Linked DNA regions of Anolis sagrei. The protein of the gene in region 3 interacts with the protein of the main gene of each other region in a pairwise test. Links are inferred from orthologs where the notes say so. Each region holds a gene or a part of one and is shown on either strand. Other genes may lie near its edges. The genes, in order: TSPO, GPR25 and CREB3L1.

What was found.
Region 1: the proteins of CREB3L1 (region 3) and TSPO interact in binary tests that used the Homo sapiens proteins (3 or more experiments, as listed by UniProt). The two-hybrid records come from large-scale screens. The link is inferred for Anolis sagrei from reciprocal best matches to the Homo sapiens genes CREB3L1 and TSPO.
Region 2: the proteins of CREB3L1 (region 3) and GPR25 interact in binary tests that used the Homo sapiens proteins (3 or more experiments, as listed by UniProt). The two-hybrid records come from large-scale screens. The link is inferred for Anolis sagrei from reciprocal best matches to the Homo sapiens genes CREB3L1 and GPR25.

Annotation. Positions count from the first base shown.
Region 1 is NC_090025.1:97,644,486-97,655,553, forward strand, and holds the start of TSPO (translocator protein), read left to right. Parts: upstream 1-7,031; 5' UTR 7,032-7,140; intron 7,141-11,068. Other genes in the region: MCAT (malonyl-CoA-acyl carrier protein transacylase, mitochondrial), read right to left, coding at 1,127-1,546. UniProt on the Homo sapiens protein: Can bind protoporphyrin IX and may play a role in the transport of porphyrins and heme. Promotes the transport of cholesterol across mitochondrial membranes and may play a role in lipid metabolism, but its precise physiological role is controversial.
Region 2 is NC_090024.1:185,439,392-185,448,685, forward strand, and holds GPR25 (probable G-protein coupled receptor 25), read left to right. Parts: upstream 1-6,438; coding exon 6,439-7,521; 3' UTR 7,522-7,571; downstream 7,572-9,294. UniProt on the Homo sapiens protein: Orphan receptor.
Region 3 is NC_090021.1:278,269,484-278,280,355, reverse strand, and holds the start of CREB3L1 (cyclic AMP-responsive element-binding protein 3-like protein 1), read right to left. Parts: upstream 4,120-10,872; 5' UTR 3,831-4,119; coding exon 3,723-3,830; intron 1-3,722.

The DNA.
Region 1 (11,068 bases), on a different chromosome or scaffold from region 3:
AAATAAATAAATAGAAGGGGCCCGAGTCTCCACTGCCATATAATCCAGTTAAAAACAGATAATCTGGATTTTATATGGCTGGGTAGAAGGGGCCTTCACTTCACATTCTTTCCCTGTGAGAATTGGATTTTGAAACATGCGGCTTTTTTGTGGAAACAAGGATTGGAGAGAAAGCTTTAACGGAGGCCCCTTCTACATTGCATACAACAAAAATACCACTTGTATAACATAAACAATAATATAATTCAACAACAGTATATAAACATGCTGAACTGTTAACCTCACAGCGACAACAAACAATATGGTGCAAAATTTTAGTACAGTCTTATCTTCTTATAAGTAGCTTGTGGATCAGCCGTCCACGACCGGTTTCGGCCTACCTCAGGCCTTCCTCTGGTGGAAAAGTTATACACTTGAGAATTTGTTCTCCTCAGGGGCTACAGATTTTTTTGGGTCAGTGGTATAAAATTATACACTTGAGAGTTTGTTCTCCTCAGGAAATACAGATTTTTTAGCTTAGTGGTATATGATACTCTGTTCCATGTTGAGTTCTGGCTCTATGTTGATACTCGCAGCCAGAACTCAACATAGAGCAGAGTATCTTATACCACTGAGCTAAAAAATCTGTATCTCCGAGGAGAACAAACTTTTCCACCAGAGGAAGGCCTTTTCCACCAGAGTAGGCCGAAACCAGTCGTGGACGGCTGATCCACAAGCTACTTATAAGAAGATACGACTGTACTAAAAAATTGCACCATATTGTTTGTTGTCGCTGTGAGGTTAACAGTGCAGCATGTTTATATACTGTTGTTGAATTATATTATTGTTTATGTTATACAAGTGGCATTTTTGTTGTATGCATTTCATTCAGGAACCCATTTATATTATAGTATATTGTTACAGAGCCCCTTCTACATTGCCATATAAAATTCTGATATGATGTATAGTACGCCTGAGGCCCCTTCCACACAGCTGTATAAAATCCACATTTAACTGGGTTATATGGCAGTGTGGACTCAGATAATGGAGTTCAAAGCTGATCTTTGGGCGATAGGCTGTGTGGAAGGGCTGCGCAGGGCCTGCCTGTCCAGTGTTCTCCCATGGCCGGGCCTTCCTGCTGGCTCACCGAGGGCTCCAGGTGGTGCAGCTTCTCCGCGGCGGCCAGGGAGGCGACGAAGACGGCGGGCTGGCTGTGGACGGTGCGGTCCAGCTGGGCCTTAGGCCCGTGGAGGCAGAGGCCCAGGAGGTCGTAGCCCAGCACCTCCTCGGCCGCGCGGAAGAGCTCCCTCGCGCTGGGGTAGCGCAGCAGGCCTTGGCCCATCCCCACGAACTGGCTGCCTTGGCCTGGGAAGAGCAGCACCGAGGTGTCCTGCGGGGAGCGACGCGGGCCCCGCAGCCCTTCGCCTGCGCTCTCCTCCTCTTCCTCCCCCTCCTCCTTCTCCACCAGGGCGCCCTCCAGAAGGGCCTGCACCCTCCCGTCCTCCTTCGGGCTCCTGGCCTGGCTCAGCCACCGTCTCGCCGCCACGAACCTGCCCCGCCACGCCATGGCCACAAGGACTAGGCCGCCGCACGAGGAACACACCGCCGGTTGCTACGGCAACCGCCCGCGTGCCAAGGAATTGCGCGCGGCTCGAGTCCGGTTGCGAAAGGCTTCCCCCTGCCTGGGAACTATAGCGCGAGGAAAGGGTTCCGCCGCATGAAAAGACTCTCTGGAATAGAATACCTTCCTCACAGCTGAATAAAACCCCACATTATCTGCTTTGAACTGGACTATATGGCAGTCTGGACTCAGGTAACCCAGTTCAAAGCAGATATTGTGGGATTTTCTGCTGTGTGGGAGGGCCCTAAGGCTACCTAAGCATTTTTTTTTAATTTTAATTATTACATTTGGCCCAGCTATTGGTTTTTAAACGTGTCGTGTTATTGTTAATGTTTATTGCTTATATTTGCATATGAATTTATTTATTGTTTTGTATTATTGTTGTTATTGTTTATTGTTGTATTGTGGGCTTGGCCTCATGTAAGCGTAAGCCGCAGCGAGTCTCTTGGGGAGATGGTAAAAGGTAAAGGTAAAGGTAGTCCCCTGACATTAAGTCCAGTCATGTCTGACTCTGGGGTGTGGTGCTCATTTCCATTTCTAAGCTGAAGAGCCAGCATTTTCCGTAGACACTTCCAAGGTCATGTGGCCGGCATGACTGCATGGAGCGCCGTTACCTTCCCGCCGGAGCGGTACCTATTGATCTACTCACATTTGCATGTTTTCGAACTGCTAGGTTGGCAGAAGCTAGGGCTGACAGCGGAAGCTCACACCGCTCCCCGGAATTGAACCTGCAACCTTTCAATCAACAAGCTCAGCAGCTCAGTGCTTTAACCCACTGCACCACCGGGGAAGATGGTAGCGGGGTACAAATAACTTTTTTTTAAATTATTATTATTATTATTACCTTCCCTCCTCCAACAGAACCCAACTTTACCCCTACAGACCTCAAGTGGGGCAATTCAGGCCTTTGGTCTGTACCTTTTTGGCAGATTTGATTTGGAGGGGCTAGAACTGTTCTTCGCTGAGGGCCCTTCTGTGGGGAAGCATTGTGAGGAAGCGTTATTTTACTGCCACCAATGTATAAACCATTTGTGAGGGTGCCCCCACTTAATGAGGGTTTATTTAGTTTGATAGCGTAGCTTATGACTAATAAATGTTGGGTTGTTGTAGGTTTTTTCGGGCTGTATGGCCATGGTCTAGAGGCATTTTCTCCTGACGTTTCACCTGCATCTATGGCAAGCATCCTCAGAGGTAGTGAGGTCTTTTGAAACTAGGAAAAGGGGTTTATATATCTGTGGAATGACCAGGGTGAGACAAAGGACTCTTGTCTGCTGGAGCTAGGTGTGAATGTTTCAACTGACTACCTTGATTAGCATACAATGGGCTGACTGTGCCTGGAGCAAACTTTTGTTGAGAGGTAATTAGATGTACCTGCCTACTTACTCTCTGTTGTTGTGCTGTTGCAATTTTAGAGTTTTTTAAATACTGGTAGCCAGATTTTGTTCATTTTCATGGTTTCCTCCATGCTTGTGGATTTCAATGGCTTCTCAGTGTAGTCTGACATGGTGGTTGTGAGAGTGGTCCAGCATTTCTGTGTTCTCAGATAATATGTTTTGTCCAGGTTAGTTCATCAGGTGCTCTGCTATGGTTGACTTCTCTGGTTGAAGTAGTCTGCAGTGCCTTTCATGTTCCTTGATTCGTGTTTGGGCAATGCTGCGTTTGGTGGTCCCTATGTAGACTTGTCCACAGCTGCATGGTACACGGTAGACTCCTGCAGAAGTGAGAGGATCCCTCTTGTCCTTTGCTGAACTTAGCAAAGTTTGCTCCAGGGACAGTCAGCCCATTGTATGCTAATCAAGGTGGTCAGTTGAAACATTCACACCTAGCTCCAGCAGACAAGAGTCCTTTGTCTCACCTTGGTCTTTCCACAGATATATAAACCCCTTTTCCTAGTTCCAACAGACATCACTACCTCTGAGGATGCTTGCCATAGATAAATCACAAATTCATCACCATCCGCCAGTGTGGTCATTCGTTATTGACTCAATCATCATTCTGCAAATGCTATATTCCAAAGCCAGGTTTTTACCAGCTTTCTGAAAGTCAGGAGAGAAGAGGCAGATCTAATCTCCAACGGGAGAGAGTTCCAGAGCCGAGGGGCAAGGCTTTAGAAAAAATAGTAACAAGTTTATTAGAATGTAGAAGTATGATGGATTCAATGTTACTTAACTCTGAGAGGCACAAAACTTCATAGGTTGCATTTATAACGTTTCTTGAATAACTCTGGGAAGGGCTCTTCCTTCCTCTAAACAGGTTTCAAACAGTTTCTTTAAAAAGATGTTTCTTTCTTTTACAGATTGGTTCAGGCACACGCTTATCTTTGCTTTATGATGGTTCTTTTAATATAAATAAGTCACCTGACTTATCTCACTATACGGGCTCAAAGCCAAACCCTGATTCTTAATATTAATATTAAAGAATCAGTCATCCCCTATAGTTCTCTAACTATAGGATTCCTGCTGGTTTTCCACACACCACAGGATCAACCACCTCTGCAGTTCACCGACCACAGACTGACAGTTAAAAACGGCTGCTCTGCCAAGTGGCAACTCAACTCAAAGCAAACTAAGCTATAAATCCCAGTAACTACAACTCCCAAATGTCAAGGTCTATTTCCCCCAAGTTTCATCTGTGTTCATATTTGCGCGCATGGAATATTCCTGCCCAGTTTGGTCCAGATCTATCATTGTTTGAGTCCAAAGAGCTCTCTAGATGTAGATGAACTACAACTCCCATATTCAAGATCAATGCCCACCAAACCCTTCTAGTGTTTTCTGTTGGTCATGGGAGTTCTGTGTGCCATGTTTGGTTCAATTACATCATTGGTGGAATTCAGAATGCTCTTTGATTGTAGGTGAAATATAAATCCCAGCAACTATTTATTTCTTTATTTATTTCATTTACTTATACCCCGCCCTTCTCACCCCGGGGGGGGGGGGACTCAGGGCGGCTTACAGTGGGGGCACAATTAGATGCCCAAAACAATTCACAAGCAATAAAATACAAACAATTCAACAATTAATTAAAAACATCAGTACATAATAAAATAATAAAAACAGTCTTATGCTCAGGGTTCATAGTCCATATATCCATTCCATTCCATTTGTCCTTGTCTATCATCAGATCCTTCAGTTAGTTGTCAGAATGACCAAAGGCTTGATCCCAGATCCAGGTCTTCAGTTTTTTCCTAAATGCCAAAAGGGAAGATGACGATCTAATCTCCCCAGGGAGTGAGTTCCACAGGTGGGGGGCCACCACTGAGAAGGCCCTGCTCCTTGTCCCCGCCAGCTTCACTTGTGACAGTGGCGGGGTCGAGAGCAGGGCCTCCCCAGAAGATCTTAAGCTTCGAGGTGGGACGTAGAGGGAGATTCGTTCAGACAAATACACTGGGCCGGAACCGTATAGGGTTTTGTAGGTCAAAACCAGCACTTTGAATTGTGCTCGGAATTGGATCGGCAGCCAGTGGAGCTGACGCAACAGGGGGGTTGTATGCTCCCTGTACGTCGCTCCGGTGAGCAATCTGGCTGCTTCTCGCTGGACTAGTTGTAGTTTCCGAGCAGTCTTCAAAGGCAACCCCACGTAGAGTGCGTTGCAGTAATCCAGCCGGGATGTGACAAGAGCGTGGACCACCGTGGCCAGATATGGCTTCTCAAGGTACAACTCCCAAATGACAAAATCAATTTTTTGAGTGATGGTCATTCCTTGGGTTAATACAGGGGTCCTCAAACTATGTCCCGGGGTCCGAATACGGCCCTCCAAGGTAATTTACCCAGCCCTCGTTCAGGGTCAACCTAAGTCTGAAATGACTTGAAAGCACGCAACAACAATCCTATCTCATCAGCCAAAAGCAGGCCCACACTTCCCATTGAAATACTAATAACTTTATATTTGTTAAAATTGTTCTTCATTTTAATTATTGTATTGTTTTTAGGAGCTTTTTGCACCACAAATAAGATATGTGCAGTGTGCATAGGAATTCATTCAGTTTTTTTCAAATTATAATATGGCCCTCCAACAGTTTGAGGGACTGTGACCTGGCCCTCTGTTTAAAAAGTTTGAGGACCCCTGGGTTGTTAGGTGTCTTGTGGCCAAATTTGGCGGCAATTCATCCAGTGGTTTTTGAGTTATGTTAATCCCACAAATGAACATTATATTTTTATTTATATAGAAGATAGTAGACTGTGACCCCTTAAATCAGTGTTTCTCAACCTTCCTAATGCCACAACCCCTTAATACAGTTCCTTATGTTATGGTGACCCCACAAAAATGAAATCATTTTTGTTGCTACTTCATAATTTTGCTACTGTTATCAATTGTAAAGTAAATAGTGTATGGTGTATTTTCATTGACTGGACCAAATTTGACACAAATATATGATACGCCCGAGTGGGGTTGGGGGGCGGATTGATTTTGCCATTTGGGAGTTGTAGTTGCTGGGATTTATAGTTCACCTACAATCAAAGAGCATTTTGAACTCCGCCAACAATGGAATTGAACCTAACTTGGCACACAGAATTCCCATGACCAATAGAAAAAACTGGAAGGGTTTGGTGAGCATTGACCTTGAGTTTTGGAGTTGAAGGTCACCTACTTCCAGAGAGCACTGTGTCTCAAACAATGATGGATCAGGACCAAACTTGGCACAAATCCTCAATATGCCCAAATGTGAATAGTGGTGGAGTTTGGGAGGAAATAAACCTTGACATTTGGGAGTTGTAGTTGCTGGGATTTATAGTTCACCTACAATCAAAGAGCATTCTGAACCCCACTAACAATAGAACTGGGCCAAACTTCCCACATAGAAACCCCACGATCAACAGAAAATACTGTGTTTTCTGATGGTCTTTGGCGACCCCTCTGACACCCCGTTGCGACCCCTCAAGGGGTCCCGACCCCCAGGTTGAGAAACACTGCCTTAAATGAAATATATCATCAGACAAATGATTATGGAACATTGATAGAAAGTATTGCACTGTATGCAACAAACACTTGCAAATGTATGCCTACTTAAATTTTAAAAAATGGGGGGGAAAATCCGGTTTCTGCCTCCTGCAGAATTCTGGGGTTTGTAGTTTAGTGAGGCTGTTAATGGCTCCTCCCTAAACTACAACCCCTAGAATTCTGCAGAGGCAGAAAACGGATTTTAATTGAATTTTTAGTGTGATGAAGTGGAAACCATTTAAAGAGACCCATTTGAAATGCCATGCCCTTCCCTTTCAAGGTCTACAGCTATAGTTTGGGAAAGTTACTTGGGCTGGGAGGGGGGAGATGCTGGGAGTGGCAGCCCAGGCTTTTTTATAGGGGTGTGTTGAGCTTGAGAAAACACAGCTGCATAAAATCCACATTGAACTGGATTATATGGCAGCGTGGACTCCAGATAACCTAGTTCCAAGCAGATATTGTGGGTTATCTGCCTTCCCTTCTTCCGTGGGAGGCTGGGAGGCGGGGCCTGGGTTCCTCGCCAGGCTTTAGCTCCCGCCTGGCCTCGCCTTCCCTTCCTTCCTTCCTTCCTTCTGCCGAAGAAGAAGAAGAAGCAGCAGGTAAGAAACGGCTTCAAAGTACCCCTAATATCCAGCACCTGTTTAATAGCCTCCAAGGAAGGTGCTTCCACCAAACACCGAGGCAGAGAGTTCCACTGCTGAACGGCTCTCACATTCAGGAAGTTCTTCCTCATGTTCAGGTGGAATCTCCTTTCCTGTCATTTGAACCCATAGCTCCATTGAGTCCTTGGGCCCTTCCACACAGCTATACAACCCAGAATATCTCATATCTGCTTTGAACTGGGTTATCTGAATCCACACAATCATATAATCCAGTTCAAAGGGATTTTTTGCCTTGATATTCTGGGATATAGGGCCCTTCCATACAGCCCAGAATATCAAGGCAGAAAATCTCATAATATCTGCTTTGAACTGGATTATCTGAGTCCACACTGCTGTATAATCCAGTTCAAAGCAGAAAATGTGGGATTTTCTGTCTTGATATTCAAGGATATAGGGCCCATCCACACAGAATATCCCACAATATTTGCTTTGAACTGGGTTATCTGAGTCCACACTGCTGTATAATCCAGTTCAAAGCAGAAAATGCGGGATTTTCTGCCTTGATATTCAGGGATATAGGGCCCTTCCATACAGCCCAGAATATCAAGGCAGAAAATCCCACAATATCTGCTTTGAACTGGGTTATCTGAGTCCACACTGCTGTATAATCCAGTTCAAAGCAGAAAATATCCAGAGATATAGGGCCCTTCCATACAGCCCAGAAAATCAAGGCAAAAAATCCCACAATAGCTGCTTTGAACTGTGTTATCCGAGTCCACACTGCTGTGTAATCCAGTTCAAAGCAGAAAATGTGGGATTTTCTGCCTTGATATTCAGGGATATAGGGCCCTTCCATACAGCCCAGAATATCAAGGCACAAATCCCACAATATCTGTTTTGAACTGGGTTATCTGAGTCCACACTGCTGTATAATCCAGTTCAAAGCAGAAAATAGCCAGGGATGTAGGTCCCTTCCATACAGCCCAGAAAATCAAGGCAGAAAATCCCACAATATCTGCTTTGAACTGGGTTATCTGAGTCCACACTGCTGTATAATCCAGTTCAAAGCAGAAAATATCCAGAGATATAGGGCCCTTCCATACAGCCCAGAAAATCAAGGCAAAAAATCCCACAATAGCTGCTTTGAACTGTGTTATCCGAGTCCACACTGCTGTGTAATCCAGTTCAAAGCAGAAAATGTGGGATTTTCTGCCTTGATATTCAGGGATATAGGGCCCTTCCATACAGCCCAGAATATCAAGGCACAAATCCCACAATATCTGCTTTGAACTGGGTTATCTGAGTCCACACTGCTGTATAATCCAGTTCAAAACAGAAAATGTGGGATTTTCTGCCTTGATATTCAGGGATATAGGGCCATTCCACACAGCCCAGAATATCAAGGCAGAAAATTCCATAATATCTGCTTTGAAATGGGTTATCTGAGTCCACACTGCTGTATAATCCAGTTCAAAGCAGAAAATGCGGGATTTTCTGCCTTGATATTCAGGGATATAGGGCCCTTCTATACAGCCCAGAATCTCAAGGCAGAAAATCTCACAATATCTGCTTTGAACTGAGTTATCTGAGTCCACACTGCTGTATAATCCAGTTCAAAGCAGAAAATATGGGATTTTCTGTCTTGATATTCAAGGATTAGGGCCCTTCCACACAGACCTATATCTTAGAACATCAAGGCAGGAAAGCCCACATTATCTGAGCATTATTGTGGGATTTTCTGGGATATAGGATTGTGTGGAAAGGCCCGGAGTCTCATGAGTAGCAGAGAACAAGCCTGCTTCCTCTTCCTTGGGATAGTTTTCTTATACTTCGATTTAAGTTATATTCCTAGTGTGTTTTCATCTTTGTACCATGCATTTTCATACGTGTATCTTTCACGACACACTTCAATCTATGTCTTTTCTTTGTCTGTATTTTATGGTGATGTGTTTTAATGGTAGCTGGAGACACTTCTGTATAATGGCAGTTTCTGAATGAGGATTAACTGCATTGAGCTGGATTATTTGGCAGTGTGGACTCATATACTCCAGTTCAATCTGCATTCTGAAACGGCCTTTAGATCCAGCCTGTGTTGTGCCTCGCCTCAAGCCACAAGAAAAGTTGGCTAACAAATCAATCAATTAATAATTAATTAATTAATTAATAATCTTTGTTTCTGGGTTATAAATGTCATTTCCTAATTCGTTCTATCTAAAAACAATTTAAAAGTGTATTAAACTACAAAAACTTTGTTATGTGCGGGACATCCTGCAGCGCATTTTGTTCTAGTTTTTCAATGAATATCTCATAGTCTCAACTGTTTTGACATTGTTTGTGGCAGCCACAAAAACAACCTTTTTGGACTATGACTTTCAAATTAAGTCCTGCAGAATTACACAGGAAATGACGCTTTCAAACCAGGAATGGAAACTTTATCAAAATTTCGTTACATAGTGTTATTATTCTCTTCCAAATAGTTCTGGGGCCTTGCCATATGATAACTCCCAGGATTCCCAATATAACATTGCAATGGTTTATATAGTATTTGAATTGTGTATTTCGCATTGTATTTAATAATCTGGTTTTTATGTGTGTATTTGTTTGTCCTGTATGTAAAAGGCCTATGGTCTAAGCATTATCTATATATATAAATCTGTTAGGTTGGTTCAACCGGACAGCAAAACTCCACAACCCCCCAACGAAACTTAACCAAAATTCCCATGCCCATAACACAACCCACAAGGTACAAACATATCTACTCAAAATGAAAAACAACACAACAACACACTAACAAAACGGCAAAACAACAAAACTCAAAAAAAACCCCAACGAAACTTAACCAAAATTCCCATGCCCATAACACAACCCACAAGGTACAAAGATATCTACTCAAAATGAAAAACAACACAACAACACACTCACAAAACGGCAAAACAACTGAGCATGTGCATTGGTGCCCAGCCGCAAGTTCCCTGGCGCATGCACACAGCCTTCCGGCCAACGTTCCCTCTGCAGAAGCCATGCCCACTCCAAGCCCCACCGCGCCGCTTCCCGCACACACACACCCCCTGCCGCATGCACACACACAACCCCACGCTCCATCACTCCCCCCGCCGCCGCACACACACACGCATCCCCACGCTCCATCACTCCCCCCGCCGCCGCACACACACATGCAACCCCACTCCCCCCGCCACCGCGCACACACACACAATCCCACGCTCCATCACTCCCCCTGCCGCCGCACACACACACGCAACCCCACGCTCCATCACTCCCCCCGCCGCCACACACACACGCAACCCCACGCTCCATCACTCCCCCTGCCGCCGCACACACACACACAACCCCACGCTCCATCACTCCCCCTGCCACCGCACACACACACACAACCCCACGCTCCATCACTCCCTCCGCCGCGACACACACGCAACCTCACTCCCCCCGCCGCTGCACACACACATGCAACCCCACGCTCCATCACTCCCCCTGCCGCCGCACACACACACGCAACCCCACGCTCCATCATTCCCCCACCGCCGCACACACACACACGCAACCCCACTCCCCCCACCGCCGCACACACACACACAACCCCAGGCTCCATCATTCCCTCCGCCGCCGCACACACACACGCAACCCCACGCTCCATCACTCCCCTGCCGCTGCACACACACACACGCAACCCCACGCTCCATCACTCCCTCCGCCGCCACACACACGCAACCCCACTCCCCCCGCCGCTGCACACACACACGCAACCCCATGCTCCATCACTCCCCCCCCGCCACCGCACACACACACGCAACCCCACGCTCCATCACTCCCTCGCCGCTGCACACACACATGCAACCCCACGCTCCATCACTCCCCCCGCCGTCGCACACACACATGCAACCCCACTCCCCCCGCCGCCGCACACACA
Region 2 (9,294 bases), on a different chromosome or scaffold from region 3:
CCATCATAACAATAACAATAATGCAATGCATTGCCTCCAGGACCTGACACCTCTCCCATTCCCCCTAAAAGGGTCTCATAGGAACAATAGCATAATAATAATAATAGAAATAACAACCTTTACCCGCCACGTGTTGCTGTGGCCAATCTTCCCTCTTTCTCTCCTTCCTTCCCTCCCTCCCTCCCTCCCTCCCTCCCTCCTTCCTTCCTTCCTTCCTTCCTTCCTTCCTTCCCATCTTTCCTTCTCCTCTTCTTTCTCTATCTCTTTCCTTCCTTCCCCCTTTTTCTTTCTCTTCTGCTGTCTCTCTTTTCTTTCCTTCCATCTTTCCTTTTCTTTCCTTTTCTTCTTCCTCTAACTTTCCTTCCTTCCCCCTTTTTCTTTACCTCCCTTTCTCTTTCTTCCTTCTTTCCTTCCTTCCTGTCTTTCCTAGATTTTGACAGGACGGGAAGGGGCGGGGTGGGGTTTGGAGGTGGCGTGAAGTAAAAGGAGGTAAGATTGGGGCAGGGGAGTGATGGAGCGTGGGGTTGCGTGTGTGTGTGCGGCAGCGGGGGGAGTGATGGAGCGTGGGGTTGCGTGTGTGTGTGCGGCGGCGGGGGGAGTGGGGTTGCGTGTGTGTGTGTGGCGGCGGGGGGAGTGGGGTTGCGTGTGTGTATGCGGCGGCGGGGGGAGTGATGGAGCGTGGGGTTGCGTGTGTGTGTGCGGCAGGGGGTGTGTGTGTGCGGGAAGCGGCGCGGCGGGGCTTGGAGTGGGCATGGTTTCCGCAGAGGGAACGTTGGCCGGAAGGCCATGTGCGCGCGCCAGGGAACTTGCGGCTGGGCGCCAATGCGCATGCTCAGTTGTTTTGCCGTTTTGTGAGTGTGTTGTTGTGTTGTTTTTCATTTTGAGTAGATATGTTTGTACCTTGTGGGTTGTGTTATGGGCATGGGAATTTTGGTTAAGTTTCGTTGGGGTTTTTTTGAGTTTTGTTCTTTTGCCGTTTTGTGAGTGTGTTGCTGTGTTGTTTTTCATTTTGAGTAGATATGTTTGTACCTTGTGGGCTGTGTTATGGGCACGGGGATTTTAGTTAAGTTTCGTTGGGGGATTTTTGAGTTTTGTTGTTTTGCCGTTTTGTGAGTGTGTTGTTGTGTTGTTTTTCATTTTGAGTAGATATGTTTGTACCTTGTGGGTTGTGTTATGGGCACGGGGATTTTGGTTAAGTTTCGTTGGGGGATTTTTGAGTTTTGTTGTTTTGCCGTTTTGTGTGTGTTGTTGTGTTGTTTTTCATTTTGAGTAGATATGTTTGTACCTTGTGGGTTGTGTTATGGGCACAGGGATTTTGGTTAAGTTTCGTTGGGGTTTTTTTGAGTTTTGTTGTTTTGCCGTTTTGTGAGTGTGTTGTTGTGTTGTTTTTCATTTTGAGTAGATATGTTTGTACCTTGTGGGATGTGTTATGGGCATGGGAATTTTGGTTAAGTTTCGTTGGGGGGTTTTTGAGTTTTGTTTCCTCGTTGGATGCCCCTAACAAATTTATATATATAGATGCAACTTTTAAAAATAAATAAATAAGAAATAATTTATCAACACTTTCTAAACACTTCTCATTTTCACTGAATCATGAGTCTGTATCTTGGTAATCAGTTTGGCTGCAGAGAATATACTAAATGCATACAGATATTTGTTTTTCTTTTTCCATATCTTGATATTCCAGTATAATTGGACCTGATGAAGAGTTCCAGAAAACTCCAAAACTTGATACACTTGTTACATTTTACTGATTCAAAGAAAGATGTCGCACGATTCTGATTTTCATTTTATTCATTATTTAATCATACAACTGTCCTGACTGCCTACCTGTGCAAGAATAAGAATGCACTTTGCCACTCATCTAAGAAGACAGCAGAAAGAGAGTTTTCAACAGTTGCAAAGGCTTTTAAAACCCTGGAACAGAACCTTTGTCTGTGAACATTTCTTTGTCTATGGCAGTTTTGTCCTTTTTGTGCACTTGTTGCTTCAGAGCTTGCACTTTTATGCTGATCATTTATCATTAATTCAATACTGTCCAATTCATACTGCACAGATGAGTCATTTCAATTTCTAAAGTATATAAAATGTTTGGCTAATTGGCTTGTAAATAATTAATTGACTGTTACCCTGTTTCAATGTGGTTTTGAAATGAAAAGGAGAGCAGCATCAACATTTAAAGAGTGCGGAAAGGAGAAGAACAAAAGTAATACTGGAAAGTTACATTTATATAAAAAAGATGCCTGATATGTTTAGGCAAAAGGTTTTTGAAGGAGCACAAAAATATAGTTTTCTTTAGATATTGCCTCAAGAAAACTATATTTTTGCTCTTCTAATTAATTATTAATCAAAGAACACTAGGCGTTTTACTATTTTATAAATTTTATGATGTCATTTTTATGTTTTACCTTTGGTAAAGTGTAATACATTTAAAATTTTGGTTTTAATAACTTGCTGAAGTAATTTCTTACTTATACATAAGAAGAAGAAGAAGAAGAAGAAGAAGAAGAAGAAGAAGAAGAAGAAGAAGAAGAAGAAGAAGAAGTGGTGACAAGAAGCAACCGGAAAAGCTTTCGTGACATGAGGATTTAAAGACAGAACTGCAAAGACTCTGGCACAAGCCAGTAAAGGTGGTCCCAGTAGTAATCGGCACACTGGATGCAGTGCCTAAAGACCTTGGTGTGCACTTAAAAACAATCGACGCTGACAAAATTACCATCTGTTAGCTGCAAAAGGTCATCTGCAGGCATTATTCGGAGATAAATCACACAGTCCTAAACACTTGGGAAGTGTCTGACGTGTGATCAAATACAAAAGCCAGCATAGTGTTCTTGTTTGCTGTGTACTAATCTTGTTATGTATCAAATAATAAAACTTTATTTATACCCCACCACTATCTCCCGTAAGGACTCAGAGTTGCTTACAAAATAGCACACAATGGTGCCATACATACATAAAATACAATACATCAACATATAGAATCAATAACACATTTACATAAAAACATACATATAAAATTAACAAAAACAATCTCTATTAAATAGTATTGGTAAAATGTGGCTATAGTCATTGGTTAGAAAGATCCATAGCAATTGATTTAGCAGCCCAGCTGTATACCCATCAAAATGTAGATATAAGGTACTAAAGTAATTGGCAATCGGTTTGGCTACCAGCTTAAATTTTATTAAAGGCCTGCTGAAAAACCCAAGTTTTTAACTCTTTCCAAAAGTGCTGTAGTGTGGGGTCTTGCCTACGTTCCTTGGGGAAGGAGTTCTGAAGCTGGGGGCCACCACCCCCAGCTTTGGGCCCTCTCCCTCATCCCCGCTAACTGCACTTGATATGGAGGTGGGACCGAGAGGACGGCTTCCCTGGAAGATCTTAGAGCCAACACCGGTTCATAGGGGGAGATGCGATCACAAAGATAGGCTAGACCCGAACTGTCAGGGGTCCTCAAACTAAGGCTCGGGGCCCGGATGCGGCCCTCCAAGGTTATTTACCCGGCCCTCACTCAGGGTCAACCTAAGTCTGAAACAACTTGAAAGCACACAACAACAATTCTATCTCATCAGCCAAAAGCAGGCCCACACTTCCCATTGAAATACTAATAAATTGGTATTTGTTCTTCATTTTAATTATTGTATTGTTTTTAAGTGGTTTTTGCACTACAAATAAGGTATGTGCAGTGTGCATAGGAATTCATTCATGTTTTTTTCCAATTATAATCCCGCCCTCCAACAGTTTGAGGGACTGTGGCCTAGCCTTCTGTTTAAAAAGTTTAAAAAGTCTGAGGACCCCTGGTGTAGAGCATTGTAGCTAATAACCTGCACATTGAATTGGGACCAGAAACTTATTGGCAGCCAGTGGAGCTGCTTCAGTAGGGGCAAGGTGTCTCCCTATAGATAGCCCCAGTTAGTATCCTGGCTGCCGATCTTTGCACCAACTGCAATTTCCAAGCCATCTTCAGAGGCAGCCCCACGTAGAGTGCATTGCAGTAATCCATTCTAGATATAACTAAGGCATGGATCACAATGGCCATAATGCAGCATTTAGCAGAAATGTATAAAATTTAGGAGGAAAGGATCTTGTTTAAGAATTGATCCCCCCCCCCCCCCGGTGATTGTAGAGCTTAAAATACAGGGTTAGTCAAAATGAATAGGCCAATAAGAAAATTAATTTTAGACGAATGTATGTTTATTGTAACCAAACTACAGCTACGTATCGACAGATAAATTATCAAAGTTTTGTCTCACCTTCAGAGATGTTTGATATGGGCGCCCCGTGTGACACGGCAGACGTCCAAGCGATAGTCCAGTTAATTCCACATCCGTTGCAGCACATCCGACGTAATGGCATCGAATGCAGCACATATGCGCTGTTTTAAGTCGTCCAAGGTCAGCGGTAATGGAGGTCGGAACACAGTGTCTTTCACATACCCCCAGAGAGAAAAGTCGCATGGTGTGAGGTCGGGGGACCTGGGGGGCCACAGGAGGAATGGAAGATCAGTCACTCCAGCACGGCCAATCCAACGTCTGGGAAGGTGTTCGTTGAGGTACTCGCGTATACTGTTGTGCCAATGCGGAGGGGCACCGTCCTGTTGGAATACGAAATTGGGCACTTTCTCTTCTAACTGTGGCATCAACCATTCAGACAACATGTCAGCGTACACTATGCCTGTTACGGTTTTCTCCGCAAAAAAGAATGGGCCAAACACGTGACGGTTGGTTATTGCACAGAAAACGTTTACCTTCGGCGAATCCCTTACATGTTCCAATACGGCATGAGGATTTTCAGATCCCCAAAAGCGGAGATTATGCCTATTGACCTTCCCGCACAGGTGAAACGTTGCCTCGTCACTGAAGACCAGTCTGTTGGCAAAGCCTTCCTCCTCTAGTCTTCGCTACATTGATTCGCAAAAATCGTGTCGTTTCGAATAGTCACCTTTTTTCAAAGCCTGCACCATTTGCAATTTATATGGCTTGAACTGCAAACGTTTGCGTAACACGCGCCACACAGTTTTTTGCGGAACGTTCAATTCCATGGAAACACGATTTGTCGACTTCTGGGGACTTCGTTGAAAGGATGCATAAATGGATTCCACTGTGTCTTCGGAGACACACGGTCGTCCTGTGGTTTTACCCTTGCATAAGCAGCCCGTCTCCTCAAATTGCTTTACCCACCTGGAATGTCGATGAGGTGGTTCCTTGCCATACTTGGCTCGAAATTCTCGCTGGACCGTAATTACTGACATTGTTTTAGCAAATGTCATCACACAAAACGCCTTCTCTTTGCCTGATTCCGCCATTTTGAAAACAGCGACTCCTAGCGATGCCTAGCGGCATTAACGTACATGTGTGTTGCTCAAAAAAAACTTTGATAGTTTATCTGTCGCTACGTAGCTGTGGTTTGGTTACAGTAAACATACATTCGGGTACAATTAATTTTCTTATTGGCCTATTCATTTTGACTAACCCTGTACATGTACCAGATTCAAGATCCAAGGGCTGAATCTGGTCCTCTAGATGCTGGACTAAAACTCTTGTATTCCTCATCATTAGTCATCATGACTATAGCTGATGGAAAGCAGCAATTTGTTCTGTTTAGTCAGGATAATAGGATTTGAATTTAGATACAAGACTTCTGGATAGTATATCTTACTTTAAATTGTCTTGTAACCATTCTTCTGAGCCACAAGTACTGTTGAGTTGCAATTCTTACAATCCCTAGACCATGACAGATAATCAAAAATGATGGGAATTGTCATTCAATAACATCTGGGGACCCACAATGGATGAAAAGTAAAGAGCACCAACCACTATGTAAAGAATTATTTTTGGCCCTCTGTATCAACAGATTTTCCATCCATGGATTCAACAGCTCTTTGAAAGCAAACATAAGGCTGATGTGGCGCTTGGTAGAATATGAGTTTGACACCCCTGGCTTAAAGGTTGTCAGGGTTCAAATGAATATCATTCTGCAAGTAAGCCATTCCACTTGAGAAGCAACTCTTGATAAGCACTGTGTGAAAAGTCCAACATTTTCTTTGATGCATGCTTTAAGGACAGTGATATTTATTTTCTGATTTCATAAAATCTGCAGTGAAACAAGTAATCATCACTGGATTGCAAATATCCTGCTGCGACCATCATAGAAGGTTCCACCATGATCATAAATGTACACACTCTTCAAACATAAGCATCCTGATACCCAGTTTCTGCAATCTTAAAGGATTTCCAAAATTGGGTTGATGTCAAGCTTTCAAGTTGTTATTGCTTGACTGAAACAAACCTCTACCTCTTCATGAAAAGCAAGAGGAAGTTACCACTAGAAAAACAAGAAAACCACTCTTTAGACAACACCCACCTGTTATAGATTGAATGTGCCTTGGTGTCCTCTTGCAACAATATTGCTGAAGACTCTTCAGTGAATCCTTGTTAAGAGATGGAAGCTGCTCAATTGTCAACTACATCAGCAATGACAGAAAACTGGAGTAGCAACTTTGAAGAATACCCAACTGAATATGATGGATTGGATTCTATGAATATCTGCCACCTGGAACTACCATTTGCTTACATCTTTATCCCCATTCTCTATTTCCTGAGTTTTTTCATCGGTTTCTTTGGGAACCTATTTGTGATCCTACTGATGGCACGAAAACAAGGTAGCAAAAGGCTTGTGGATACCTTCGTTCTCAATCTGGCCATAGCTGACCTGGTCTTTGTATTTACTTTGCCTTTCTGGGGTTTGTCAGCAGCTCTTGATGGCTGGCTCTTTAGTGAAGGACTATGCAAGCTGAGCAGCTATACCATCTCTGTCAACCGCTGCTCAAGTATCTTGTTCCTGACAGGCATGAGCGTGGAACGCTTCCTTGTGATGACCAAGCGTTGGGATGCCAGGTCCATTGGAACCAGGAAGAATGCCATCACGAGCTGTGGCTGCATCTGGGCAATCTCACTACTTCTAGGAATACCATCACTGGTCTACAGAAATCTGGCCTTCAAGGGAGATAGCAAATATTCATGCCAGGGTGACCCCCCTGCCACCTTCAGTGTGGTCATGCTCAGCTTAACCTTCCTGTTGCCGTTGGGAGTCATCTTGTTCTGCTATTGCTCTATCTTCTCCAAACTTCAGAGCCATGCCAGACTAGGCAAAAGAAGAAACAATGCCCTTAAAATCATCTTTACCATCATTGGGGCATTTGTCTGTTCTTGGCTGCCTTTCAACACCTTCAAGATAATCTTCACTATGGCTCAGAACATTGATCTCTCTTGCCAGGCCCTGAGAACTCTCTTCGGGGGACTCACCATCACCGCTTGCCTGGCTTTCGTAAACAGCTGTATCAACCCTGTCATCTATGTCTTTATGGATCAGCACTTTCGACAGCAGGTCCTGATGTATTTCCCTGGATTTTGGAAAGCAAAGGGAAATATGCAAGCCTCCAGCATGTCCTTTTCATCTACAGAATCAAGTGTTTTGTTTGGCAGCAGGAAAAAGCTCCCACCCGCCACGTCTGTTCAGATATGAAACACAGTAAAAGATGTGTAGGTTTGCAAAAGCCTCCAAGATTTGGCACGTTTTTGGCTTGGACTGCTGAGAATAACCACAGGGTTTCTGAGTTATGTTGATTATGAAAAAGAGGGTAAGGAGATGGTCTGTAAATGTGGGTGGAAATTGATATATTTTGACTATCAGTTGTAAATTACAATAGGAAAAGAATTTATTTTTATCATTATTTCTAATGTGTATGAATGAAATCAACTCCCCACTTATATAATTTGACCCCATTTCTATTGCATTATAAGAATAGAAATTTAACATATACCCATCATTATAAAGCTATTTCTGCTTGCTAAAATTGAGATATGCTGGGACTGAATAGGAGAGACATGTACAAGTGTATCTGCAGCTGAAATGTGAATTATTTTGCTTTTACTTTCAATTACATATGTTCTCACCACCACATTTTTGAATGTTTGTATCGTTTTTACAAAATTGATGAATAGATCTTGATTGCTCATTGAAAATATTTAGCATGAAAGAAAAATAAATTACCTTATAATTCTAGACCAGATTTTTAAAACGCATTAAGACAAGCATGCTTAATTAAAGATGAATATAGAACTAAAATTGTTCTTCTGTTGTGACATTATTCAAAAATTCTTGACAATTTCCTTTGTATCTAGGTTTCTCGCAATATGCTTTCTTAATTTTAATTAAAAATGTAAATCTAACACTGTGTGTGTGTAAATCTTTTTAAACGTGGTAATAGCAAATAACTCAATATGTGGGACCTACTCTTCCAGATATTTCACATTTTCAAATTTAAATTGGCAATTGACTCATTAATGACCCTATATCAGGCATGGGCAAACTTGAGCCCTCCAGGTGTTTTGGACTTCAACTCCCACAATTCCTTGCCTCAGGCCCCTTCGTTTTCACCCTCAGCCACTTAAGGGCCTGAGGCCAGGAATTGTGGGAGTTGAAGTCCAAAACACTTAGAGGGCTGAAGTTTGCCCATGTCAGCCTTATATCCATCAATTAACTCACAACATAGCAGTCTGGTTGTCTCTGTTCTTCTAGAAAGGCATAGGGAAATTTTTGACTTGAGCAAGATATACTTCATTTATTTTAGAATCTTGACACCCATCAATGAGAGACAGATGCAAAATTAGCTCTTTGGGAGGGTGGACATGGAATACCCCTAAAAGTGCCTCTGAGCCCATATACCCAAGTAATTTGCCAAAGTCTGTAAGATGCAGCCATAACAGTTAAAATGGAATCAAATTACACACACACACTCCAAGTTAGAGTCTACCACATTGTTATTTAAAATAATGGAGCAGTGGATGATGCAGTGGGTTAAACCCTTATGCTGGCAGGACTGCTGAATGAAAGGTTAGTGGTTCGAATCCAGGGAGCGGGGTGAGCTCCCATCTGTCAGCTCCAGCTTCTCATGCAGGGACATGAGAGAAGCCTCCAACAGGATGGTAAAACATCTGGGCATCCCCCTGGGCAATGTCCTTGCAGGCGGCCAATTTTCTCACATCAAAAGCGACTTGCAGTTTCTCAAGTCACTCCTGACATCGGGAAATTTTTTTAAAAAGAATGATCAATGCTATTTTGTGACAGAAAAAATGAAATCATTGCTTTTTAAAAACTGATTACATTGTCTGTTTAAAAAACCCCAAGCTATGTGTGAAAAAGAAATGCTATGTCTACTACCCGTGCTGACTAATTATGAAATGCAATCTGTTAAAAGCGGGACTTTGATTTCCAGTCTCACCTAGGTTTTGGTGA
Region 3 (10,872 bases):
GATAGCATTTGCAATCCAACATCTGGAGTGTGAGGCACACAGGGCTATGCTAAAATTCTTAACCAGGTTAACCAATTATGACAGTTTTTGGACTGCAACCCTGCATGAATCCTACAATGCTAAGGCAGGTGGAAGCTGAAGGGCTACAGTTCCCCAGCCTTCCTTTAAAACAGGGATGGGCAAACTTTGGCCCTACAGGCGTTTTGAACTTCAACTCCCATGATTCTTAACAGCCTCAGGCCGCTTCCTTTTCCTCCTCAGCCGCTTAAGTGGCTGAAGGGGAGGGGGAGGAATGGGTCTGAGGCTGTTAGGAATTATGGGAGTTGGAGTCCAAAACACCTGGAGGACTGAAGTTTGCTCATGCCTGCTTTAAACTTTAGTAAGTTGAAAAGTTCCAAAGGCATTATTAAAAATAGGAATGTTCCTCTAATGGACACTGATGCATGTTCTTTTTTATAATGTAGAGGCCCCTCATTACTTGAGACCCTTAACTGTAACTATAACAAGTCTGTGCATAAACCCACCAATGGGTTTATGCACATTTGCTATCTGTGATACAGTGATTTCAGTCCTACTCTGTACTTAGGTAGACTATGTTCATGTGTATGATTAATTATTCTTTCAAATGATGAGGATCTCTCCCTTCACCAACATCTAGGATTCATCCCCGTCTCCTTCTGACACTAATGGAGGACTCTAGGTTCATTTCACAAGACTTAATATTCAATTTACTTGAATCTAATGTTCACTTTGTTTGCTCAAATGGCCCTATCAAAATTAGGGTGCACATTAGATTAACGTAATATGGTCATCTTAGTGCTGATCCAATGCAAAAGGGGAAGCTGCTTCAGGAGCACCTGGAGCTCCTATTTGGGGAATATTACCTCTAATTTAATGGTCATGGCTCAATGCTATGCAATGCTGGGATTTGTAGTTTGGTGAGGAATCTGGATTCTTTGGCAGAGAAAATTTAAGACCTTACAAAACCACAACCCCTATGATTCCATAGCATTGAGCTATCGGTAGTTAAAGTGGATTCATTTTACAGCATAGATGCACGCCAAGGTTTTCTTTTCCATGGCTGAAAGCTTTGGTGTTCTGACACTTCTGTTTTAAAGAAGGCATTCTAAGTACACACCAATTTTAATGTGCATCTTTTTTGTCCATATATATATATATATATATATATATATATAACACATACACACATATATGTACACACACACAAAGAGCACAGTTTTTGCTGCTGCGCATCACATTCAGCAGTTTTTTGTTTTGTTTTTTTTGGTTTCATAGTTTTGAAAAGTGAGGTGTGCATTAGATTCAATGGTGCAGTAGACATGAGTAAATACAGTAGTTAAAACATGTTAATATGGATGCGAAGTCTTTACAGGATGTCCTTATCATCTGAATGTACTTAATTGGTAATAATTATTAACATATGTCACTATCTTTACAATACCAATGGGCTATCAAATTGCCACTACGCATATAAATATACAAAGGGAGAGAATCCACCAGGAATTTCTCTGCAGCACTGAAAGCAGCTTGGGCTGCATCTACACAGTAGAATCAATGCGGTTTGACACCATTTTAACTGCATTGGTTGGATGCAGCACTAAAATCAGCTGGGGCAGCATCTACACAGCAGAATTAACACAGTTTGACACCACTTTAACTGCCTTGTCTGGATACAGGACTAAAATCGGCTGGGGCGAAATCTATACAGTAGAATGAATGCAGTTTGACACCAGTTTAACTGCCTTGGTTGGATGCTATGGAATCCTGGGGTTTATAGTTTGATGAGGCACCAGCATTCTTTGGAAGAGAAGTCAAAAGACCTTGCAAAATTACAACTCCCATGTTTCCATAGCACAGAGCCTTGGCACTTAAAGTGATGTCAAACTGTATTCATTCTACAGTGTGGATGCACCCTAAGTAAAGGGATCTCATATGATAGTTAACAGAGGACCCTTCTACATAGCTGAAAAAAATCCCACATTATCTGCTTTGAACTAAAATATATGGCAGTGTGGACTCAGATAACCTGGAGCCCTTCCACACAGCCCTATATTCCATAATATCAAGGCAGAAAATCCCACAATATCAGCTTTGAACTGGGTTATCTGAGTCCATACTCAGATAATGTGGGATTTTCTGCCTTGATATTTGGGATACAGGGCTGTGTGGAAGGGCCCCCAGTTCAAAGCAGATATTGTGGGATTTTCTGCCTTGATATTCTGGATAATATGGCTGTGTGGAAGGGCCCCCACTTTTTAAACTTGCCTTCTTTATATGTTAAGAGCTGTACAACTTTAGAAAAGCATGGAAAACCCTCCATTAAGTGACCACAACTGTTGCCTTGCAAGATTGAAAAACAATTCTGAACGTGAACCTCTCCTAAGAGGTTCCATCTGGAAAAAAAGAGGATGGATTCAAACTGTCATGGAGGTGACATTTTGCACTCAGAACAGAAGGGAGATCCATTTGGATCCTAAACCTGGCTCATCACATTCACCTGTCCAGCAATGGTGATGGTGCTTTGAAGCAAGGGTTGGGACCTCTTATTAACACTCCAGGACTACCATCAAGCGATTATGCCTGCCTGAGGGAACGAACTGCCACAAAACAATGTGTTGTCGAAGGTTTTCATGGCCGAAACCACTGGGTTGCTGTAATTTTTCTGAGCTGTATGGCCATGTTCCAGAAGCATTCTCTCCTGACGTTTCACCTGCATCTATGGCAGGCATCCTCAGAGGTTGTGAGGTCAACCTCTGAATGGTTCTGGAACATGGCCATACAGCCCAAAAAACTTACAGCATCCCTGCTACAAAACAGCCCCACACAAGCCAAATGTTGCCACTTTTCCAAACAAAAGGTACATGTACACTGTGGAAGTTTGACATCAATTGAAATGCTCAGTGGTATGAAATCCTGGGAGGTTTTTTTTGGCAGAGGGAGCTAAAGAACTCGCAAAACTACAACTCCAAGGATTCCTTAGCATTGTGTCATGGCAGTGAAAATAGGGTCAAATGGCACTCATTCCACATGTAGATAGATTAGACATGGGCACACTTGGGCCCTCCCTTCAGACGTTTTGGACTCCAACTCCCACCATTCCTAACTGCCTCAGGCCCCTTCCCTTTCCCCCTCAGCTACTTAAGCAGCTGAGGGGGGGAAAGTAAAGAACATGAGGCTGTTAGGAATGGTGGGGGTTGGAGTCCAAAACACCTGGAGGACCCAAGTTTGCCCATGCCTGTTCCATAGCCTTGAAAGAGAGTTCACCAAACTACAACTTCCCTTGTTCCATAGAGGAGGGGGAAAAGAAAGGGCCTGAGGCTGTTAGGTATGGTGGGAGTTGGAGTCCAAAACACCTGGAGGACCCAAGTTTGCCCATGCCTGTTCCATAGCCTTGAGAGAGCACTCACCAAACTACAACTCCAATTGTTCCATAGAAGAGGGAAGAGGAAAGGGCCTGAGGCTGTTAGCAGTGGTGGGAGTTGGAGTCCAAAACACCGGGAGGAGCCAAGTTTGCCCATGTCTGTTCCATAGCCTTGAAAGAGAGCTCACCAAACTACAACTCCCCTTGTTCCATAGCCTTGAGCCCTGGCAGTTCAACTGCATTCATTCCCCAGTGGAGATGCACCCAAGGGTCACTCTAGGAGGGAGATGTAACCCTTTCCCCTCTTCCTCCCCAGAACACATCTCCTCCCCTTTCTTACCACATTATTGAGGAAATCGGACTCATTGAGGTCGCCCAGGTCCAGGAAACTGGGGGCGCCCCCGGGGAAGAGGCGCTCCGAGGGGAAGGGCTCCAGGAGGCTGTCCATGGTGGGGATGCTCTGGATGTGGAGGGGTCCTTCCTCCTCCTCCTCTCCCTCCTCACTCTCTGGAAGCCCCTCGCGGCGGATGCCCTGGAGCTAAGCCTCCCGCTTCTCGGGGGATCTGGTAATCCATGAGGCTGGGAAGAAGATGCGGTGGGAGAGAGGGAGAGAGGGAGGGAGGCAGGGAGGGTCTGCAGGAGGGAGGGGCGCCTTCCTCTCCGCCGGGATCCCTGCCCTGCTGTCACCGTCACACACAGCCACTGAGTCTCAGCAGCCAGCAGCAGCGGCAGCTCTCGAAACCACGCCCACCAGCCCTGGGCGCTCATGAATATGCAAAATTCCAGCGGCCTCGAGAGACAGGCACCCTGCCAATCAGGCAACGCGAAGGCCCGCCCCCAATCCTCCCGCGCGGCCAATGGGAGCCCCGAGTGGAGCCAAAGCCGAACTAGGCGTGCAATGAAAGCAGTTTGACACCTCTTGAGCTCCCATGGCTCAACCCACTAGCCCTGCCGTGGAGAGGGGAGGTTTGGGCCCCTCCACACAGCCTTATGGCCCAGAACATCAAGGCAGAAAATCCCACAATATCTGCTTTGAACTGAGTTATCTGAGCCCACACTCAGATAATGTGGGGTTACCTGCCTTGATGTTCCTTGTTGTTTATTCGTTCAGTCGCTTCTGACTCTTCGTGACCTCATGGACAGGGGCGGCTCGTCCATTACGCGAAGTAAGCGGTCGCAGAACACTCTTTTTTGCCAGGGGCGCAGAGGCGCCTCTGTAAATGCCCCTCGACCGCCACTTGAGGAGCGCCCCCTCAGCTCACAACAGCCCTAGCAGTCCGGGGGGAGCCTCGGCTTTCTTGCCTCGCTGCCGGGCGATCCTCTTCCCAAAGGGGCCGGGCCCTTGAGCCTCGCCTAACCCCTCTCGTTCTTGCTCCACCCGGCCACTGGGTGCGCGAGCAGAGCCGGCGCTCAATCGTTCTCCGCGTTCGATCCCTTCCCCATGACCGGCTCCCTTTCCCGATCCCCCGGCGCTCCACCCGCCTCCTCTCCCCAATCCGCGGGTGGGCCAAGGGGCGGAGCAGCCGCGTCTGGTCCGCTTCAGGTCCAGAGGCGTGTCTGAAGACCCCAGCGTGCGCACCAAAAGTCGCCTCTTCTCCTGACTTTCTCTTCAGCCATTGGGACCAAGCGAGAGAGAGAGAGAGAGAGCCCCTCCGGCTGGAGGTATCTCCCACCTCCGCTCCCTCCTTTGTTTTTGTGCCTACTTTCAGGAAATGTGGGCATCTCCACCTCTCTCTCTCTCTCTCTCTCTTTCTCTCTCAGTCCCAATGGCTGAGGAGTAAGTCAAGAGAAGAGGTGACTTTTGGTGCACACGCCGGGGTCTTCAGGCACGCCTCCGGACCCAAAGCGGACCAGGCAAGGGAGCAAGTGCGGCAAGTGCAGTTACTGGGATGTATAGTTCACCTACAATCAAAGAGCATTCTGAACTCCACCAATGATGGAATTGAACTAAATATGGCACACAGAACTCCCACGTGAAACAGAAAATATATATCAATGATTGGTTTGGGGGGGGGGGGGGGCGTGCCAAAATACTGTTTGCTTACCATTGAAAATTACCTAGGGCCGCCTCTGCTCATGTACCAGCCCACACCAGAGCTCCTTGTCGGCCGTGGCCACCCCCAGCTCCTTCAAAGTGAAGCAAGTCACTTCAAGGATATCATCCATCTATCTTGCCCTTGATCAGCCCCTCTTCCCTTTTCCTTCCATTTTCCCCAGCATCATTGTCTTCTCCAAGCTTACCTATCTTCTGATTATGTGGCCAAAGTACTTCATTGTTGCCTCTAATATCCTTCCCTCCAGTGAGCAGTCGCATATTATTTCCTGGAATATGGACTGGTTGGATCTTCTCGCAGTCCAAGGCAATCTCAGAATTTTCCTCCAACATCACAGTTCAAAAGCATCTATCTTCATTCGCTCAGCCTTCTTTATCCTCCAGCTCTCATATCCATAGGTTACTACAGGGAATACCATTGCTTTAACTATGCAGATCTTCATTGCAAGTGTGATGTCTCTACTCTTCACTATTTTATCGAGATTGGCCATTGCTCTCCTTCCAAGAAGTAAGTGTTTCCTGATTTTCTGGCTGCAGTCTGCGTCTGCAGTAATCTTTGTACCTAGAAATACAAAGTCTGTCACTTCCTCCACGTTTTCTCCCTCTATTTGCCAGTTATCAATCCGTCTGGTTGCCATCATCTTTTTTTTTAATGTTTAGCTGAAACCCAGTTTTTGCACTTTCTTCTTTCACCTTGGTTAGAAGGCGCCTCAGTTCCTCCTCGCTTTCAGCCATCAAAGGTATTATCATCTGCATATCTAAGATTGTTAATGTTTCTTCCAGCAATTTTAACTCCAGCCTTGGATTCATCAAGCCCAGTATGTCGCATGATGTGTTCTCAATACAAGTTGAATAAGTCAAGTGAGAGTATACAGCCCTGCCATACTCCTTTCCCAATCTTGAACCAGTCTATCGGGCTATTTTTGAGGAATTGTGAAGGGATGTGCTCCTGTCCTTTGCTTCCTTAGACAACAAACACCTTGAATGTCCTTAGCATTGTGTGCAGCTTTTGTGATAGTTGGACCATGTCTAGACGACACAACTAGTCTATATAACTCCAAGCATTTATTTTAAACATCCTCATATCCCTATTGGAGGCACAGACAAACTTCGGTCCTCCAGATGTTTTGAACTTTAATTCCCACAATTATTGACTGTTAGGAATTTTAGGAGTTGAAGCCCAAAACACCTGGAGGGCGAACTTTGCCTATGCCTGCCCTGGATTATATGGCAGTGTAGAAGGGGCCTGAACCTTCCAGATTTGGTGCTAATCCATCTACCTGTGTCCCAGGAAATTTGTGGGATTCCTCATCTCGGCATACATTATATTAGGATTGTGAGAGCTTTCCAACCATGACCTCCAAATCTGAACATTCAGAAAGTTGCAGGGTGTCCCATTGCACCCCAACAGTTGATTTTCCATGTAGTTTGAGAAAGGCCATACTCTTGACACGCACACACACACACACACACAATCCCTGAAAAGTTCTATCACATTTAAAATATGATTTTGATTGTACAGCGTAACAGTTATCACAGAGGTTTCCTAAGTTTTAAAACAAGAAAGCAGTGTTTTAGCTTCCCAACATGCAGTTGGATCAAACCTTTAGACCTCATCACTGTCTAATCTTCAGGGTACACATGTACAACATTTCTCCCCTATGTAATTTACAGCAACTGTAAAAGATGCTTCAAACTACTAAGCAATTTTAGGACATTAAACAACTGACATACTGTTGACATAAAAAGAAGAGTTTCTTCTGAATTAACAACATTTTCTGAGACCTAGGATTGCTTATCATTTTGCTCATACCTCAAAAATATATCAATGTCAATATGATGGATTGGTTTAAGCATTGGACTACAACTCTTGATGCTAGTATATAAGCCCTTAGTCATAAAGTCCACTGAGTGATCTTGGGCAAATCCCAATCTTTTAGCCTCAGAGGAGGATAATGGCAAATCTACTCTGAATAAATCCAGGCAAGAAAACCATGTAATAGGCTTCCTTTTAAATCCACCATAGGTTGGAAATGCCTTGCAGGCACACCACCAGAACAATTCATGACATATTGTGATCTCACGTTGTCTAAAATCATGACTCCAGAGGTCAAATAACTTAATTAATGAGATCTAATTTCTGAAGATCATCATATCATTTTCATAAAATAGAAACTGGGAGAAGAGACAGAAACTGATGAATTAGAAAGCTTAAATTTTAAAACTGAATGTAAAGCAAAAAAAAGAAAGAAAATCCACATAGATGGTAACCTTAACTTGATAGTACCAGTTACTCTGTCAATGCAGGTGGGCCTGTTCCTTGCAGTCTGTCTAATAACACTGTAATTACAGACCAAAGCACAATTTTTTAGTTTCAGGAAGATTACAGGGCTTCATAGGGGTGAGATTACAGATCCTAGCCAAGTTTATCCTCTTTCCTCTTAGAAATCCAGAGAAACCTCTTTGAATAGTGTTAGAAAACAGAGTTGTGTTTCCCAAAAGACATTGCCAGCAGTGAAATCCTTCTCCCCTTCTTCATACTGCAGGGCAGGAAAGTCTTGTACGGATATCAGTCTGCAGATAGCTGAGGTGTAGTGAAGTCTAAACTCTAGTAATTTTTAATTCAAAGTGATGTCCTTATTAGAATAAATGAATACATTTACAATCTTATTATAGTTCAGGATGAACACTTCCTTCTCCTAAATTATTTTGATCAGTCTGCTACTGTTCCAGTCAGCCAGCCATGCCCAGAGCTTAGAAATAATTGGCAAAAAAAATGAATTAATTCCCCTAATTTGCTCAAGTTTTCAGCAACACTTTTTGTCAAAAATGTTACTTTGATACAATGATAATTGACATAGTTCTACAGTTTCTCATTATGTTAACTTGTTAACACTGTGTTTCAGCAATTCCATGCAATGTTTTTGAAGTTCAATGTTAAAACAGATTAATGAACAAATGCACAAATTAACATTCTTAACGTTGTGAGACCAGTGAATTAGATCTCCTTACACTTTCAGCTCTAATGTGTCAATGTTGCCATTAATGTTTTCCACTTCTGGCTATGTCCTCCTCCAAGAATATCCAATCCTCAATTCAGTTCTTCAGTTCTCACCTGCAATACGTGCAGACGTCCACACTGCAGAATTATAACAGTTTGACACCACTTCAGTTGCCATGACTCCATCATATAGATTTCTGAGATTTGTAGCTTGTTGTGACACTAGAGGTGCCATTGCACAAAACTACCAACCCTAATATTCCACAGCATTGAGCCACAGTCATTAGTGTCATGTCAAACTGCTACAATTCTGAAAAGCAGATACAACCGTAGTCAAAATTGCATGCAGAATTCCAATTCCTCTTTTTGTATTTTCCTTCTTAATTTTTTCATTTTTTTAAAGAAATCTACAAATTTATGATTTATCCAGTTCTGTTTATACTCACGTTTTGGCACTGGGTGATCCTATTTTGCCTAGAGTCAGCATAGTCTAGTAGTTTCACTACTTTGAGAGTTGTTGTGCACTTCATGTTATTTCACTAAACCAAACCTATCATAATTTTTTTCTTGGCAAGATTCATTCAGAAGAGGTTTTATCCTTGCCTTCCTTTGAAGCCTTTGGACTTGCCCAAGCTAGTCAAGTTGATTTCATGGCCGAGCAGGGATTCAAACCTTTTTCTCCAGAGTCGCAGTCCAATGCTCAAACCACTAGACCACACTGAATCTCCACTTGGCCATAGAGATCCACTAGGTGACCTTAAGACAAGCACAAACTCTCAAGATAAGCCAACCCCCACTGAACAAATTATGGCAAAAGAAATATGTTTGCTTTAGGATCATCATAATTTGGAAATGATTTGAAGGCACGAAACAGCAACTTTTGGCCATACAAAAGAATTGCACTCATGTATGAACACCAGAAATAGAAGAAACTGGGAAGACATTCCCATATTGCACCTCTCTGAAGTCAGATAATTCTCACCATTCAGGAGAACAATTTCGGCTTGTGAAATATGCTTATAATTATAATTCTTTAAAATGGGATTCTGCTGTCAGAAGTCAAGGAATGTCTGACCTGTTGGGTGCAGATATACCACCTTATTGGAGAGTATAAGGTGTCAATATGGATCTGGGACACATATAGACTGCTTTGGAGGCCCTTGACCCCAATAAAGTTCCCTCAACCACCTCTTTTCTGGCCAAAGAAATCCAAGAGGATAAGTTTCCCAATGACTATTTAACAGAAAAATACCTTTGTTTCAAAACCAGAAATGAACTTCTAGCCCAGTGGTTCTCAACCTGGGGTCCCCAGATGTTTTTGGCCTACAACTCCCAGAAATCCTAGCCAGTTTATTAGCTGTTAGGATGTCTGGGAGTTGGAGGCCAAAAACATCTGGGGACCCCAGGTTGAGAACCACTGGGCCAGTTCCCAGATTTTTGTTTATTTGGTTTGGGTTGTTTTAATAGTCCCTATTGTCTCTGAGAATCCCAGAAGCAGAAAATTGGCCCTGGAGTTCCACCCTTGCCCATCCCTAGGATAAATATAGGTGATGTATCATGGTCCTTTTTTGCTATTTTTTCAAATATATTTTTATGCTGTAGTTTTATTTACAGCTTGTCATTTTAAAGTGTATGCTTTAAATTGTTCTTATATGTTCGTAATTTAATTCTGTTTTAAATGGAAACTTCAGCAACAATAATAAAAACAATAGCAGGTCACAATTCTTTTAAAAAGACACTCCCGCAGAAATTAAAATTTGTTTGCTTTATAAAAACTAGTTCCATTTCATAAAGAAAATAGAACTACCAAAATACAAGATTGGTTGCATCTATATATTGGTTTGGGAGAAAGATGGATGGATGTGCATACACTGCTTATGGGTGACAATGTGCCATTATATCATCTTAGTCTTCTGCTAAAGCAAGACCAACTGTATAGCTCAAATTGAAACTTGAACTACTTTGTTCTTGTCGCCCAGATTTCTCCTTAGAATGTTTCACTTCAATAGTAAACACTCAAACATCAAATTGAGAGGATAGGTGACTGCCGCTTGGACAAATGATAAAATGGATAGTTAAGCCACCAACCTGGTGCCTTCTAAGTGTTAATTACAACTCTCATCATTGTCCATGCTGGCTGGAGTGATGGGTGTTGTAGTCCAGCACATGAAATGGGCACCAATTACTTCATCACACTACAAAATGAATCCACTTTCTATCCAGTTGCTGCCTCCTGCAGAATTCTAGGGTTTGTAGTTTAGTGAGGCTGTTAAAGTCTCCTCTGTAAACTACAAACCCCAGAATTCTGCAGGAGGCAGCAACTGGATTTAAAGTGAAATTATTCTAGTGTGATGAGAGAGTAAGCCTGATTTAAGGAAAGTCTAAAATACTTTATTTCATATATTAGCTGTCATGCTGAGGAGCCCCCGGTAGAAC